2 linked regions of the Lonchura striata genome follow. The protein of the gene in region 2 binds, or shares a complex with, the protein of the main gene of each other region. Links are inferred from orthologs where the notes say so. Each region holds a gene or a part of one and is shown on either strand. Other genes may lie near its edges. The genes, in order: GOLGA7 and ZDHHC9.

The links.
Region 1: the proteins of ZDHHC9 (region 2) and GOLGA7 are in contact, whole or in part, in a cryo-EM structure (PDB 8HF3), measured with the Homo sapiens proteins. The link is inferred for Lonchura striata from reciprocal best matches to the Homo sapiens genes ZDHHC9 and GOLGA7. Residues at the interface, in NP_001008223.1 of Homo sapiens: Phe78, Ala81, Arg85, Ile94, Pro95, Leu98, Asp100, Glu101, Phe104, Ile105, Phe129, Gln130, Ile131, Asn132, Ile146, Pro149, Pro150, Arg182, Tyr183, Leu186, Tyr274, Lys281, Cys284, Glu285, Leu287, Cys288, Gly289, Pro290, Leu291, Pro292; in NP_001002296.1 of Homo sapiens: Lys11, Phe13, Gln15, Tyr18, Ser19, Ser20, Gly21, Thr22, Ala57, Glu58, Leu60, Ser64, Tyr65, Gly68, Cys72, Ala75, Tyr76, Thr77, Phe79, Leu80, Tyr86, Glu87, Leu90, Ile116, Arg118, Gly119, Arg121, Val122.

What each region holds. Positions count from the first base shown.
Region 1 is NC_134634.1:4,765,233-4,773,641, reverse strand, and holds the start of GOLGA7 (golgin subfamily A member 7), read right to left. Parts: upstream 3,296-8,409; 5' UTR 3,139-3,295; coding exon 3,028-3,138; intron 2,129-3,027; coding exon 1,976-2,128; intron 1,704-1,975; coding exon 1,602-1,703; intron 567-1,601; coding exon 519-566; 3' UTR 503-518; intron 1-502. UniProt on the Homo sapiens protein: May be involved in protein transport from Golgi to cell surface. The ZDHHC9-GOLGA7 complex is a palmitoyltransferase specific for HRAS and NRAS.
Region 2 is NC_134616.1:15,265,010-15,273,049, forward strand, and holds the start of ZDHHC9 (palmitoyltransferase ZDHHC9), read right to left. Parts: upstream 3,515-8,040; 5' UTR 3,496-3,514; intron 3,225-3,495; exon of another isoform or gene 3,151-3,224; 5' UTR 3,021-3,150; coding exon 2,854-3,020; intron 1-2,853. Other genes in the region: UTP14A (U3 small nucleolar RNA-associated protein 14 homolog A), read left to right, coding at 4,762-4,920, 5,151-5,215, 5,398-5,462, 5,574-5,716, 5,820-5,975, 6,835-6,954, 7,135-7,229, 7,333-7,456 and 1 more. UniProt on the Homo sapiens protein: Palmitoyltransferase that catalyzes the addition of palmitate onto various protein substrates, such as ADRB2, GSDMD, HRAS, NRAS and CGAS. The ZDHHC9-GOLGA7 complex is a palmitoyltransferase specific for HRAS and NRAS.

The sequences.
Region 1 (8,409 bases), on a different chromosome or scaffold from region 2:
AACCAGTGCCAATGCCAGCTGTCCAAAAGCAAAGTCACAGAAAGCAATTTTCGTGGTCTGCACTGGATATTTGTGACTCGCCCCACAGCACCAAGAGAACTGAGAGCTCTCAGCAGAGCTTTTCAAGGCTGCTGGGCCCTCCTACCGCAAAGCATCACAAGTAAAGACATCAGCATGGTAACCAGAACAGCAGCCAGCTAAAAAACTGCAGCAAAAAGGCTCTGTATGCTAAAGTACACTCAGGGACAGAGTCCATTTTTTACTGACCCGAGAAGAATTTTGGACATAATACAGTACAAGTTAGCATATTTACACAATCAAGACTCCAATTTCTTCAACCCAGTACTGATATTTTTACTTCTAAGAAGAGCTGGTCCACACAGGCTTTATGTGAACAGTCTTTGATAACTACAAGGGTGGGATAAACTCCCAGCATGACAGCACCCAATCCTCTGAGCACAAAAAGATGTTGAGATTGATCTGAGATACAGGTAACATGTACCTAAAACTCCACAGTTTTATCTTCCACTGGTCAAACCTCTGTCTTCATAAATGGTAATTTCAATCTGCACAGAAAAGCTGTTAAGGAAATACACTATAAAGAGACTATGAAAACATACCCGGAAAAAGGCAGAAAAACATTAAGATGATGGGACTTTGATATCTGAGCTGTTTAAAGGCAGGTCCCAGAGCTCCAAAGCAAAAGGAACAGCCTATGTGAGATGCCTCATCAGGTAAGAGCACGGGCTCCCAGCCCAGGGCCTGCGCAGGAACTCATGGGGAAGGCTGTGCGCCGAGCAAAAAAAGTTAATACTGCTAATAAGTCACCTACCAAACTGAAAATGCTTTTACTCAAATTGAATGTTGGTTGTTTTTTTTTTCTTTCCAGAAGGTGTATACACAATGGAAAAACACACTGAGAAAAAAGAAGTCATGTAGGTGACAGCTCTGAGCTACATGGACAAGGACACAGAAAACCCAACTTCAACGAATTAGCCTCATCATACATTCAATTGGCATTGGGTTTCAAGTTACTGTGGTTTCAAGATTTTCAAAGAAAGCTGTGTTACTCATTATACTTCCCCATTTGCTATGAGAGGTCTTTACAACTTCAGGCAATAACCACACAAAATGTCTTCAGTGTGGCTCAACGGCTGAAGAAAAAGGGTTGAAATAAGCCATACTGGAAGCAAGAGCAAGTGCCAGGCTTGCAGTGATGTTGTATGTCAAGATCTTCACCAAAACCTCAGCTGAGGGTTGCACATTAAGTAAATTGATGTTATCACATCCATTTCTGTCCTACCAACATGGTCACTTCTTTCCCCAGTCAGAAAAACAGCATTTCTGGACATTACTGGAATAGAGGCAGGATCCTGAGCGCTCTTTCCAGGCAGGCACAAAGGTTGGGTTCCACATCTTTATGGGCTTTGCACGCACCAAACCTTAACATACTAAAACCTGACTAGGGACCAGGACACAACAAAAAGCAACAAGATTAATCACCCATTCTGTATCACAGATCGAGCATGAGCAGAGGTGCCTCACTGAGACAAACGAGGAGCACAAGGCAGGAGACAATGTCAGAAACCAGAGAAGGATACAACTCTTAATCCTCTTTCAATGGGGTCTGTCAGCAGAAGGCCCTGAGGAGCATAGATCTTCTCATTCTGTTCCTGAATGAACTTAGCAATTTTCTTTAGAACCTGGCAATGAAACAGCACAGAAGTCACAACTGTTTCCTTTCAAACAGTATCACAGCTACGGCAAGGTGAGAACTGACACACAACTGCTCTGATGGCTCGACAGTGCAGGCACTTGCCTGGATTCAGGGTGCCCCCCATGGGACCCAAAGTGACCAGTACCAGCACGCCTGAGTTACATCCATACAGCATCTGCACCAGAACATTGCAAGTCACAGGAAACCCACCAGGACCCAAGTTCTTGCCTGCAGGATGAAAGGGAAACAAGCATTTACCTTTTCATAGTGTGTCTCCATGCACAGGAAGATGGTGTAGGCAGTCAGGCAGGCGAGACAGCCTTCCAGGTAAGATTGGCCCCCAAGTTTTTCAGCTTCTGCATAGAGGTTGTTCAGTGTCCGGACTGTCTCCTCAAACTGCTGCCTGTCAATCTGCAAGAAAAGCAAGTGGGGCTGTCAGGTGCACACTGCAGAACTCACCAGTAGCCTTGTACATCCACCTCCACTCAGGGATCATCTGCACTGCACTCAGAGCCGCAGCCTGGAGCACGCAGAGTTACACACCTGCAGCTCTTTGTCAGACACCTTCCTGTGCTCAGGCTGAGTCCGAGTCAAACACAACGTGGACACAAAACCATTCAGAGCAACACTCCTAAGCTAATGTGCAATTCAGCTGTGAAACAACCGGAATTCACACCCAGGGATGTGATGGGTTAAAATGAACAGGCGAGCGTGGAGGGACACTCCACACCCTCAGTGCCTCGGTGCTGCTGCAGTGCTGACCAAACGTACCCACAACAAAGGAACAAGGAAGAGAGAAAAGCCGAGCGAGCGAAAGAAAATGGGGTAGGAAGGCGTGTTTGTTTGACTGTCAGCTTAAGAGCCCACATCTGATAGCACTGACCAAAACGTAAGTACTTGAAACAGCGTTTGTGAGGCTTCTGAGTGGGCAGGACGGGTAGGATTTCAAGGGAGAGGACAATGCTATCACCTGAGAGAACAGACCCGACTCTATTCGCACAAACACAACGAGTACATTCTGCTCTACTGCAAACCAGCCACCTTCCCCAGGACTGACCAGAGTCCGGGACCGGGACACGAGGAAGGAACCACGTCCGCTCCTGCGCCTGAGCGGTTCGGTCAGATTCCTGCAGGAGATGCTACCCCGGCCCTCGGGGAACCCGCGGGACCAGCTCCGACCGAGGCAGGGCACCTGCGAACGCCACCTGGGCGCAGGCCCGTAAGGCCCGGCCTGGTCCCGCCCGGCGTGCAGGCTCCGTGCGCCGCGCTCGCCGCGAGCCCCGGGCCAGCCCCCGTCCGCCCCGCCTCACCCGGTTCTCCAGCTCGGCCGGGAACTTGCTCTGGAACTGGCAGCGCGTCCCACCGCTGTAGTCGCGCTGGATGAACACCTTGCCCGACACAGGCGCCTGCTGCGGCCTCATTGCGCCGCCGCCCCGGTCCCGTCCGGTCCCGTCCGGTCCCGCCGCTCCGCCGGCCGCCCCGCGCACTTACGGCTGTCGCAAAACCACCGAGGCGACGCCGGGCTCGGGTGAGGGCGGAAGTGCCGCCAGGCGCCACAAGGCGCGGCACTGCGCAGGTGTAGCCTCGGAGCCCGCAGAACGGCAGGAGCGCGCATGTGCAAAAGCACCCATATCCGATTGGGCGTACGGCTGATTTCAAGCGCGGCCAGCTCACGTGACACACCCCCCCCGTTCCCTCCCAGCCGTACTTGGTACCGCCCGGGCCCGCGGCAACACCGCCTGTCCCGGCGGCCCCCCGGCGTACTTGGTACCGCCCGGGCCCACAGTCGCCGGCTGTCCCGGGGCCCGGCCCTGTCCCGGGCCCGCCGCTCCCAGCTCGGGCCTCAGTTCCATGGTTTTTCGTAGGAACCGGAGCCGCTGCGCGCAGAGCGACGCTCCCGCAGCTTTGTCGCAGCTGGCTGTGCTGCCGCACGCGGGGTCCGGTGGCGGCCCGTTAACCTTTGCCCGAGGGCTCTGGGCTGCCGAGGCAGCGAGAGCAGCGGTCCCTCGGGCCAAGGCAAACCTGGCAGCAGAGAGCGCAGGGACGGCCTCACCCCGAGCGCCGTGTCCTGGGGCTGTGCCTCTGGAGCTCATCCTCCGGGACCCGACCTTCAGGAGGGGCTCGTGCTTGGGGTGCTCGTGCTTGTGGTGCTCGTGCCGACGGTGCCATGGGGCCACACAGTGCCACTCTGCTCTTCCTGAGAGCCATGGGCAAATCCGAGGTGTTGAGCAGCCACTGACCCCTCGCTGTTCATGGGCACAGTGTTTTCCAGCCTGACCAAGCATGGACGCTTGTGGCTCTCAGAGCAGACAGACACTTTGAAACAGAGTCTTTCAGGCCACCTAATGCAGTAGAGATGCAAGAGGACAAATCAAATTTATAGACATAGCTAAAGGTGGGAGATATACTCGCAAAGCCAATTTGTGTCATTTTATGGGCTTGAAAGAGTCTAAGTCAGACGTCCCTGTATGGTTTGAATTAGGCAGGGACGGGTATTCTGGAAAGCCAGATCTGAAGAAGTTTTTATTTAGGGCATTTGAAATTGAGTATGGGCCATCCAGCATTTCTGTAATGCTCTCAAATAAAGTATTTCAGAACACAAGCTTCCACATGACAAAGAAAATGATGAATACATGAAAATAGAGATATCTATCTTGCATTAAATATTCAGGAATAGAATTTCATCTGTGTATCAACAGACAAACTGAGAATTTCAAAGGGTGCTGCTTTCAAAAGAAAAATGTTTAAAAACCCAAAAATACAGAAAGAAGCTCTAAGTAGCACCAAAAAATGCAGGTTTTTTTTCTCTTTTTTTTGTGCTATCAACAAGGTTATCTGTTTTATTGTCTGAACAGGAGCATGACTGCAGGGCCTGGAACTAGCAGATCCATGTCCTGACAGCTCAGGTGGCCCCTCTGGGATGTCCCAGCACCCTGCCTGGCATGGGGCTCCCCAGGCACCCCAGCTTGTGCTGACTGGACATGTGAATTGGGTAGCCAGCAGTTCCTTCCTGGGCTGGCTGGAATCCTGGCACCCTTCCTCCAGCACAAGGAGCCACCAAGACTCAAGCCTGTGAGCTCTGCAATGCCTTTTGTGCCCTGCAAGCCAAAAGCAGGAAGGAGACCTTGGCAGCATTGAGTTAGTTAATGGTTGCACTCAGTGATCTAGAGGTCTTTTCCAACCTTAGTGATTGTGTGATTCTAAGACTATTTCGGCAGAGGGATAAGCCCCTCACTCCCAACTGCCAAGCTCAGCTGCCAGAAAAGTTCCCCGGGAAGTAGCACAATCTTTGTTTGGTCATTAAAGCAGAAAAAGAGAGAGGGAATCTTAGGAAATGCTTGAAACGATTAGGTGATCTTAACTCTAAGGAGCTAAACAAATGCAAAGCAATTCCCCCCTCAGCCCCTCGTGCTGCTGTAGAATGTAATCTCATTTCTAAACACACAATTACAGAAAATAAAAAGAAAAGAAAAGAATAATTAATTTCTGCTTCCTCATGCAAATCCTCTGACCAATCATTTAGGGATCAGGAGCAATTCAGCTTCTTGTGCAAATTCCAAACTGAAGGCCTGAAAAAAACAAGTGAATGGATTTACTTTTCTAAGAACCAGAATTAACAAAGGTTCCATTTTCCATGGTTATGTGCCTGGCCAGACAGCCCTTGCTGACAAGCTCTCAAAAAACATGTGTTGGTCTGTTGAAAAGGCCCCAGTGTTGACTGACAGACAATTGAAGTGACAAATTGTTTCATTGTACTTGGCAGGGAGAGCGCTGTATTAGATAATTATGGCGAGGAGGGAAGCGACAGGTCATAGGTCAGAAGACACGTCTGACCCTGTTTTCTGAAAGCCCTGAAAGAAGCCCATGCCCGGGCGAGCAGCGTGATGCTGTAGCTGCTTTTCCTTCCGCTGTGGTGATTAAGAGCTAACGAAGATAGAGTGGGGATGAGCTGGATCCGTTCTCGCCCCAGTCATGGCTCCTAGGACAGGAGTGTGGTCCTCAGGACAGGAGTGTGGCTCTCAGGACAGGAGCGTGGCTTCTAGGACAGAAGTGTGGCTCTCAGGATGGGAGTGTGGCTCCCAGGATAAGAGTGTGACTCTCAGGATGGGGATTGTGGCTCTCAGGATGGGAGTGTGGCTTCTAGGACAGAAGTGTGGCTCCCAGGACAGAAGTGTGGCTCTCAGGTTGGGAGTGTGGCTCTCAGGACAGGAGTGTGGCTCCCAGGACAAGAGTGTGGCTCTCAGGATTGGAGTGTGGCTCTCAGGATTGGAGTGTGGCTCTCAGGACGAGGAGTGTGGCTCTCGGGACGGGAGTGTGGCTCCCGGGATAGGAGTGTGGCTCTCAGGACAGGATAGTGGCTCTCAGGACGGGAGTGTGGCTCTCAGGACGGGAGTGTGGCTCCCAGGACAAGAGTGTGGCTCTCAGGAAAGGAGTGTGGCTCTCAGGACGGGAGTGTGGCTCTCAGGACGGGAGTGTGGCTCTCAGGATTGGAGTGTGGCTCCCAGGATAGGAGTGTGGCTCTCAGGACAGGATAGTGGCTTTCAGGACGGGAGCGTGGCTCTCAGGACGGGAGTGTGGCTCCTGGGATAGGAGTGTGGCTCTCAGGATTGGAGTGTGGCTCCCAGGATAGGAGTGTGGCTCTCAGGACAGGGATTGTGGCTCTCAGGATGGGAGTGTGGCTCTCGGGATGGGAGTGTGGCTCCCTGGATAGGAGTGTGGCTCTCAGGACGGGAGTGTGGCTCTCAGGACAGGATAGTGGCTCTCAGGATAGGGGTGTGGCTCTCAGGACGAGGAGTGTGGCTCTCGGGATAGTAGTGTGGCTCTCAGGATGGGAGTGTGGCTCTCAGGATGGGAGTGTGGCTCTCAGGACGGGGAGTGTGGTGCCCCAGCAGCACCCACCACCCCTCGCTGGCCCCAGGGGCCTGAAGCATTGATAGCTGCCTTCAGCAGAATGTTGGGACACTACCACCTTTGGAGCAGCGCCAGATGCCTACGAGCACCTCAGCAGTCCACGTTTCCTGGCAGGAAAAAGCACCACGTCTGCCCCCAGTCCTGTCCCAGGCACTCAGGCTCAGGCTCCTTCGCAGCCTGCAAGCACCAGCAGGACCAACCCTGCCCCGCTGGGGCCTGGTTTTTTTGCAGGCTACAACAGAGTACAACTAATAGTTATTGCAGCTTCTCTCTTGCCACAGAAATAAAATATGGCATGGAATCACAGCACAGCTACTCCATTGAGAGCAATGTTACACTGAGTAATACCAATAATTCAAAACAGATGAGCTAAAGGCTCAAGCACTATGGGCTCAGTATCCCAGTCTGCCCTGACCCCTGGAATTCGCTGAAAGTTACCTTGAGACTCGCCAGAACTCTTTTGTAACTTCTGTGAGGGTTATTTATTGCAAAGTCATAAATATTTGCTATGGATTTTCTCCATCAATCTACAAAATGAATTAGGTTAGAAAAACTAAATGTACTTGGATTTTGGGCATGTGTTTCCCAGGCAGGGGAGAAAGCATTGGATCTCCATTGTGCAGAAGACGGGCTGCTGTAGAGCTTTGGGCTCTGCTGCCTGCACTAATGAATTCCCTTCCACAAGCAGTTTAAAATGCACAGTACAGTTGAGAAAGGGGGAAGGGAGGAAAGAGAGTCTTCTTTAAATCCCTTTTAAAATATTTCATAAAATTATTATTGGGGAAAGGAAAATTCTGTTTCCCTCTCCTCCTTCCCAGACACCCTGCCAGTCCATTAAAACCCTGAAACTGAGAGGCAGCATGTTGTGCCCCAGGGAATCAGCCTTAACTCAACATCTCAAAGACTACCTCAGAAGCCAGCTCTGGCAGCTGGATGTGGGGATGGAAGCAGAGTGCCCAGGCTCCTCTCTTTCCATCCCAAGGCAAAGCTGTCTTGGGGCAAAGCCACCTCGCTTTCTCACTGTTAAAAAGAGGAGGGAGAGCAGGACTTGCCCTGCCTTGCAGGCATTTCTTTTAACAAGTTTTTATTCATAAAAGCACTTAAATGAGACCTTAACTTTGAGGATACTACAGTAGAATTTGAGCACAGGTGGATGCTGTATCTGGTGGTGAGGGGGTGACAATGAGAAGTGGGGCAAGTTCTTCCCCCAGAAGTTGGTCAGGCACTGAACAGGCTCCCGAGAGCAGTGGTCACAGCTCCAAACCTGTCAGAGTTCAAGTGTTTGGACAACGCTCTCAGGCACAGGGTGAAATTCTCATGCATGTGAGAAGGGGCAGGAGATGGACTTTGACAATCCGTGTGGGTCCTTTCTAATTAAGCCTCCAGGATCCTGTACCTTTTCAACCACTGCCAAGTGACTGCATAGGACCTGGCAGCCTGTGTGTCCAGGCAGCAAGTCCTGCACCCCTATGGCTGCTCATCCTGCCACCAAAAGCTCCTGAAAAGGTTTGCATGAATGAGCTGATCTAGCTTTGTTTCTGCTCCTATGGTTTGCCCTTTACCCTTTGGCCTTTGCCCAGCTCTGTGGCCAAAGAGCAAGGTCTGGCCACAGATGACTGCACAGCTGCCCAGATGCTTATTGTGCATGGCACAATAAGCCATGGCGGGGGCCTGCAGCTCCTGCTGCTCCTCAGCCCCAGCCACTGCCATGCTCAGTAGTACACCAAAGCCAGCATTTTTTCCTGCTGCTGGGAAGGCTCCAGTGCAGTCTGTTGTGTGGG
Region 2 (8,040 bases):
CCCATGAGGAGTGGTGTTGCTAGTGCTATCATGCCTCTAATATTTACAGATGTGCTGAAAAGTCAGAGACAAAAGAAATCCCATTCCCTTCAGCTGAGCATGGAACTCACTTCAGGAGAGATGGGAACTGCAAAGGGAACTCCCAGCCTGAGAGTTCCCTGCATCCCATCATCCCAGTTCATAAAGGGATTTTTTACAAGTGCTTTATCTGGTCCCCTTATGCAGGAGCACCTCAAGAAGACAGCAGCTAAGTGCCCAACCACAGGGCTGACGTACCATTAGGAGTCTGAAATAACGCCAAGAGGATGTGAAACTGTATTTTACGGGACGTGTTATGGAGCAGACCCAGTTAAACACAGCTCTCGGACTCTGCAGGGAGCAGCGGGAGCTGCTCCGTAGTGGTGAGAGAGGTGCCCTTGGGCAGAGGACTCCAGTCGGTCGCTGCAGAGCCCTTCCCGGGAACCAGCACAGCTCCGTCCCTCTGCCTTATCTAAGAGGGAGGAGTCGGATCTCAGGTACAGCACTGAGTTCTGCCAGCTTCTGGCTCCTGTCTGCTCCTGGAGGGAGAGATTTCCCCAGTCCCAAAACACAGCGCTGCGGTTTGGGGGATCAACACACAGAAATTCCCACGCACGGGGCTGAGGCGGCTCAGCCCGCTGGCCTGTGGACACCGCGGAGCAGCTGGCAGCACTGGAGAAACCTGGAGGAAAACCAGCACCAGCAGCAGCCCCATCGCTCCAGGGCTGGGAAGGAAGGGTTGTGGCTTTCCTCCTGCCGTGGGTGCTGGTCCCCACCGGCCTCAGCTGTAACTGGAGCCAGGGCAGCCCGGAGCACCAGGATCAAGCCCAGCCCGGCGCAGGGCGAGCAGCCAGACAGATCCTGGCTCAGTCGGAGCCGCGCTCAGACAAGGTGTGACTGCGCAAGTGATTCAGCTGAATGGAGAGGCACAGGCAGCCTGCAGTGAGGGACAGCCAGGGAAAGGCTCCTCCGCCCACCGCCGGCTGCCGCGCTCCGAATCCACACAGCAACTTTCACGGGGAAACCAGGAATTTCCACGCAAACACTAAAGAATCTGCCAAACACTGAGACAACACAGTGAAAGAGCGAGGCTGAGATCCTCACCCAGAGCTCCCTACACATGCAGGGCAGGCAGGGCTCCTGAGCAGCCAAGCTACTTATCTCAGCCTGATCAGTGAAACAGAGACCTTGGGAAGTGTTTCCAGCTGGGAAGGCAACATTTCATCCCTATCCCAAATTCAAAAATCCCCAAACAAGTTCAAAACAATCTCCTCTGTTCCAAACAAAAAAAAAATACTGAGGTGTTCTGCACTGAAAGAATCGGTTCATTGGGTATTTGGATTTTCCCAAACTTTTCCTTATCTCCCTCAATGATTTAACTAAAATTCAGAGGTGATCCTGTTCCCAGCAGCATTCCCCCCGCAGAGCCCACCCTCCAGGTCTACACACAGCCTCAATGTCTCGGTGCAAGCGACTCCTCCACAGGCCTCTGCCTGCCAGAGCATGGAAAGGGGCTTCTCAAGGAATTTCCAGTCACGTTCCTGACTAACCACAGCCTAGGTCTGGAAAACAGCCTTGGCTCACTCTGCCTTAGCGCAACCAAGGCAGAGCGGGATGTGGTTCATGCTCCTGCTACGGGCAGGATCCACAGGGAGCCAGAGCAATTATCCCTCAAATCAGTGTTTCTGGTGCAGCAATAAGCGTTTCTGGAGCAGCAACACTTAATAGTTCTTCCTGTAAGGCAGGAAGGCTCAGCCCTATTTTTCAGATGGAAAAAACCCCAAACATCAAACCAAGAGCGGTGTCACTTAGTACCTCAGAATTCAGACTGAGACAGAGATAATTCGGGCAGGGAACTAGGGAGAGACACGCTGGGCCAGGGAATGTGGAAACAAGTTCCCTGGCTTAGGAACTATGCTGAGGAGGACAGCATCTGGGCCCAGGGCTTTTTGGAATAGCCAGGGGCTTAGCCAGTGAGCAGGTCCTTTTACTCGCTCATCTTGGCTTTTCAACCTTTTGTATTACCCAACCCTATTTCAGCCCTTCTGCTGCCCCACAACACAAACATGCCCATGGAGACCGAGGAAGGGAAGTTTTTCAGTTGTTTAACTGATCCAAGTTCATCCTCTAGCCAGGCAACAGGGGTGTCCTGCCCCCTGCTGCAGCATCAGCCCAGACAAACATAGGCTTTTCCCTTTTTGCTTGTTTTTTGATTTCAGGATTAGTCTAAGGCCAGCCAAACTCCCCAGCCCAGCTCCCAGGGAGAGCTGAGGGGAGAGGGCAGATCCCTCTATTTCAGAGGTGGCAGATCCCTCTTTTTCAGCAGGATCAAAGGTTTTGGCCGAAGGTCTTTAGGCTGCTGAGGTGATGGAAGGGGTGGTCGGATCCTTCCTAAATACCAGCGTGGCTCTGCCTGCACTGCAGCCTGGGGCTGGGGCTAGGTCAGACTGGCAGGACCCTCCAGCTCATTTTTCATTAATCCTCCTGCTGGGGTCACCTCCCTAGTGGGGCTGATGTGGGGGCTGCAGGGACACAGGCTGTGCCCCAGGGCTGCAGCACTGTCCCCTTGCACCCCGGCTATCCTGGAGCCAGGAGCACTCGGGACAAGGGACTGCCAAGTCCCAAGACAGAAGGTGACCCACAGGGAAGCAGGGCCAGTGTCACCCCTTGGCAGGGCTCCGGCAGGGCCCATTCCCCCCAGAACCTCCAGGGTCAGTCTGCTGAGGGTGAGGAAGCAGATCTGGACAGGGAGAGCCGCACTCCGCTTCCCTCCCTCTCCCGGAGGCCCCGGGCACACGGGCCCGTCCCCGTCCCGTGGGTCCCCGCGGAACTCACTCGAAGGCGAAGAAGAGGGCGCAGGTGCCGAGGATGAGGAAGAGCGTCAGGTAGAAGATGCCCTTCTGCCGGGCCATCATGATACGGCCGTCGCAGCAGAAGGTGTTCCTGCCCGGCAGCTTCTCCCATTTCCGAACCACCTTCTTCCTCGCCACCATCACCGACATGGCGGGGCCGTCACTGGGGCGGCGGCGGCCGCCGCACGTTCGGGCGCTGCTGCTGCTGCTGCTCCGCCGCCCGAGCGCCCAGCATCATCGGGGCCCCGCGGGGCCGAGCTGGGCTGGGCTGGGCCGGCGGCTGCGGGAGAGGGAACGGGGAAAGCGCTCGGTCAGCACCAGGGCGGCGGCGGCACCGGCACGGGGGGCGGCGGCCGCCGTCGCCATGGAAACCCCGCGCCCGGGAGGGGCGTTGCCGTGGGAATCCACCCGGGAGGGGCGCGGGGCGCGGCCAGGAAGACCCTCGGGTGGGCGGCTCCGCACCGGGAGGGGACGCGGCAGGGCCCGGCCACACAAGGCACGGCAGCCCCGGCTGTGCGGGCGTGCCGGGAGCCGCGGAGAGCGCGGATGGGAAGGGTTAGAGAGGAGACGGGAGGGAAGGGGAAGGGAGGGAAGGGGCCGGGAAGGGCCCCGCGCCGCCGCTCACCCGGTGCCGGTGCCGCTCGGGCCGCGCCGGTCGCTCGCACCGCGCCGGGAGGGGCCGCCACGCCCCGCGCCCGAACGGGGCGGAGCCGCCGCGGCCATTGGTCCCGCCGCGCCCTTCGCCCCGCCCCGCCGCTTCCCGCCTTTCTATTGGGCGAGCGCGCTGTCAATCCGTGGCAGCTCCTCCCACTGCACCCCTTCTCGCCACTCCATTGGTCACTGGCGCTGTCACTTCGTGGTGACTCCTCCCACCCCGCCTCTTCTCGCTGGTTCATTGGCTGAGGGCGCTGCCACTCCGCGTGGTTGACCCGCCCCGGTGCGGACAAGGGAGGGCGGGGTGAGGGCGGGGCGCGGCACGTGGTGGGGCGGGGCCGTGAGGGCTCATCCCCCACTGCTCCCTCCAGACCTCCCGGTGCAGCCCCCCGTTCCTCTTTTAACCTTTTCTCTCCCCGGGTGTCTACAAGGACCGGGCTTCCGAGTCCCAGCGCCGCGGGGAGCGCACGGGATGCTCCCGTCGTGGGTTCCCCGCCCCTCCCGCCCCATCCGCACATTCCCACATTTCGCACAGTAGTTTTCATACGGTTTTGCACGCCCACACCGTGGGGTTGGGTCCGGAGAGCCCCCCAGGATTCCATTGCCGGCATCCTGCCAGGGGCATCCCATCGATCCCTGTCATCCCAGCCCCTTTGGAATCCCGCACACAGCGCTCCCGCCGGGCACGTGGCTGCCAGCAAAGGCAGGGCCCGGAGCGCCAAACCGAGGGGAAAACACAGAACTTTTCCCGCGGCTGTTGCTATGGAGACGGGAGCGGACGGGGAGCAGCTCGTTATCCCCGTCCCTCCTGCCCCGAGCCCCCGTGCGCCCGGCTCGGGACGGAGCAGAACGACAAGGGGCGCGGGCAGGACGGGCGCTGCGGGCGCAGTGGCGGACACTGACACCGCTTCGTGGCTGACAATTCCGTGTGTTTGCTCCAACCATCCTCCAGATCCTATTGACCCCCAAAACGCTCCCAGGAGCCGGGTTCGGCCGCCGGGAGGAACCGGAGGTGCGGCAGCTCCGTCCCGAGCCCGCGGCACTGGCGCGACCCGAGGGAAAACAGCGAATCCTGGAATCCCTGCGGCCGGGGGCAGCCACGAGAGTCAGGGACGGAGCGAAGACCCGCAGAACTGCGGTGTCCCGGCGGCTCCCGAGGCGGGCGGGGCGCTGCCCGCCCCTCCCGGACCCCTTCGGTCCCTCCGCCTCTCCCGCCCCGCCCGCCGGGCCCGCTGCCATGGCAACCCGCACGTCACGGCGGCGCGCTTTGCGGCAGGGCGCCGGGGCTCGGCGCGACACTCGGCGGCGCTTTGCGGCAGTACCGGCGTGCGGGGCCATGGCGGAGCAGGAGCCGGCGGCGGCGGCGGCGGGGAGCGACAGCGACAGCGAGGAGGGGGTGAGCGGGGCCGGGAACAGCGCCACGGGCTCTCCGGGTAGCCTCCACCGCTGTTTGCGGCGCTCCGGGCGCTCTCCCGGCCGCGGTGGGCGCAGCGGAGGACGGCATGGCCTGGCCGGGGATGTCGGGCCCGGGAGCCGGCCGGGCGGTGCCGTTGGGGGCACCGGGGAGAACGGGGGAGCGGGCGCTGGGGCCAGGTTGGGTCTGTGACCGCGTGTGCCCTGTGGCAGGAGGATGGCGAGCGGCGGCACCGGCAGCTCCTGGAGGCCATCAGCGCCTTGTCCGGACGCAAACGGTGAGTGGCGGCTGCGGGCGTCCCGGGGCTCCTGCGGCAGCCGCGTGGGTGGCGGGAGGCTGCCCAGCAAGGAGGGCAGGGGACAGGCCTCGGCCCCTGCCCTCGGCACCGGCCCCAGGCCCCCCAGAGCAGCCGGCGGATACGAGGAACCTTCGGGGGTGTTTTCTGTGTCTCTCTCGCAGGCGGAAGCTGGCGGAACGCTCGGAGGCCAGCGGGCAGGTGTCCGAGTTCAATGTCAGCTGCAAAGGTGAGCGGGGAGCAGGACAGGGCTCGCGGAGCTGGGATGGCGCTGCCCGCCGAGAGCCCCCGTGAGGGCTGGGCCAGCTCCCTCACCCGGCAGTGCCACACCTGTGCGTAGGTGCTGGGGAAAAGCTGCTTCTGTCGGAGCTGCTGCAGCCCATTCATCCCAAATCCACGCTGGGCAGTGTGAGGAAGGAGCTGGCCAGAGTGAAGCAGAAGGCGGCGGTGGAGCTGCCACTGAGCAAAGAGGAGGCCAAGAGGGTGAGTGCAGGGAGCCAGGGGAGTCTGAGCTGAGCCCCCAGGACCCCCGTGTGCCTCCCTGATGCCACCATCACCTTTCTCTGCCTGTCCCATTCCCCTGCAGGTGGTGAGGGAAGCGGCCTACGTGACCAGCTCGAAGGAGGTGGGGAAGTGGCAGCAGGTGGTGCTGCAGAACCGGCGTGCAGAGCAGCTGGTGTTCCCCCTGCGGCAGGACATCGCCACCGTCACCCCTCTGGAGAGGGTCACCTCAGCGTGGAAGGTGACACCGGGGCTCACACGGCTGGGGTGGCTCTGGGGGCACTGCTGGGTGGCTCCAGGATCAGCTGGGGCAGGTTGATGTCTCCTGGCTGTGCCAGGGGCAGTGGTGGCAGGCCCAGACTGGGGGTGACACTGGGCAGGTGCCCGCTGAGCTTGGGAAGGTTAGAAGGGCAGTTTTACAGAGCAGGTGTGTAAATTCCATCTGGGACAAGCCAGGTAGGGTGTGAGCAGAGGGTTTGGAGCCTGCTGTGTCCCTTCTTGTAGCCTCTCAGGGCCAGGCACATGGGAGTGTCCCTTGGCCACAAGTGCTGAGACAGAGGGGATTGGTTTGCCAAGTCCTGTGTGCCTGGAAACATTCCTTACAAAAGAGGGAGGTGTTTGGTTTTGAATGCAAGTTGTTGTGGGGTTGTGCTGCTTGCAGGAGAGCACTGCTGTCCCTGGCAGTTGTCAGATGCCCAGGTGAGGAAGGGACGGCCCCTACTGAACTCCCAGCAAACCTGTTGCTCACACTGATCTGCCCAAAAGTCCCTTTCTGTTTTGGAGGGACGTGGCATTGCATGGCCTGGAACTCCTGTGTGGTTCCCCCTGGTCAGCACTGCCTGGCAACTGGGAGGCCATTTTTCTAATGCGGGAGGAATTCTACCTGCCCTCACCGGGCCATGTGGCTGGGAGAGTGCCCAAGGGCTGTGGTGTGGGAGCCATGAGTGGGGCTATGGCCACCCAGTCCCCCAAGGCAGGGGATGCTTCTCTGGGCCTTCCACAGACCAACGTGGGGGCAGTGAGAATGGATGGGGACATCCAGGGGAGCACTGCTGCTTGCACTTCTCCTCATCCTCTTGCCATGTCTACTGTCCCAACAGGCCCGAACTCCACTGGAGCAGGAGATCTTTGGATTGCTCCACAAGACACAGCAGCCCATCACAGACCCGCTGCTGACACCAGAGGAGATGGCCTCAGTGCAGGCCATGAGCTTGGAGGAGGTGAGGCTTTATCCTGCTGGGCCCTGGCTCTGGGGGCCTCTTCCTTGGCCCCGTTCCTCACCCTGTGCTCCCCGTGCCTCACCCCCTGCTCCCCGTGCCTCACCCCGCGCTGTCCTCCCTCACCCCCCGTTCCCCTCCCTCACCCCCCGTTCCCCTCCCTCACCCCGCGCTCCCCGGCAGGCTCGGCGCCGGCGGGCGGAGCTGCAGAAGGCCCGGGCATTGCAGTCCTACTATGAGGCCAAGGCTCGGCGAGCGAAGCGGATCAAGAGCAAGAAGTGAGGCTGTGCCTGTGCTGGGCTGGGCACATTGACAGGGCAGGGCAGGCCAGCCCTGCCTCACCCGTGGCTGCCCAGCCCCTGAGCCACCCCTGTGCCACAGGTACCACCGCGTGCTCAAGAAGAGCCGGAGGCGCCAGGCCCTGAAGGAGTTCGAGCAGCTGCACAAGTCGGACCCTGCGGCCGCCTTGGAACGGCTGGAGGAGCTGGAGCAGCTCAGGATGCAGGTGCTGCCCCGGCACCTCTGCCTCACCCCTCGGGAGGGCCCTGCTCCTTGGGGAGCTCTGTGTGATGCTTCTCTTTCCCCAGGAGCGGATGAGCCTTAAGCACCAGAACAAGGGAAAATGGGCCCGATCCAGGGCCATTATGGCTAAGTATGACCTCGAGGTGAGATGGAGCCACAGAAGGGTTTTGTGAGAAGGGACCTTTAAGCTCACCCAGTTCCACCCCCCTGCCATGGGCAGGGACACTTTCCACCAGACCAAGTTGCTCCAAGCCCTGACCAACCTGTCCTTGAACATTTCTGGGGATGGGGCAGCCACAGCTTCTCTGGGCAATCTCTGCCTTGGCTTCCCCACCCTCACAGGAAAGAATTTCTTCCCAATATCCCATCTAGCCCTTCCTTCTGTCAATGTGCAGCCATTCCCCCTTGTCCTGTCCCTCCAAGCCACAGTATAAAGTTTCTCTATCTCTTATAATCCCATTTATATATTGGAATGCCGTGGCAGGATCCTCAGCATTGCTTGGGGAAGGAGAGGAGACTGAGGGAATGGGAAGGGCAGGGAAGGTTGGGAATGTTGTCTCTGCCCTG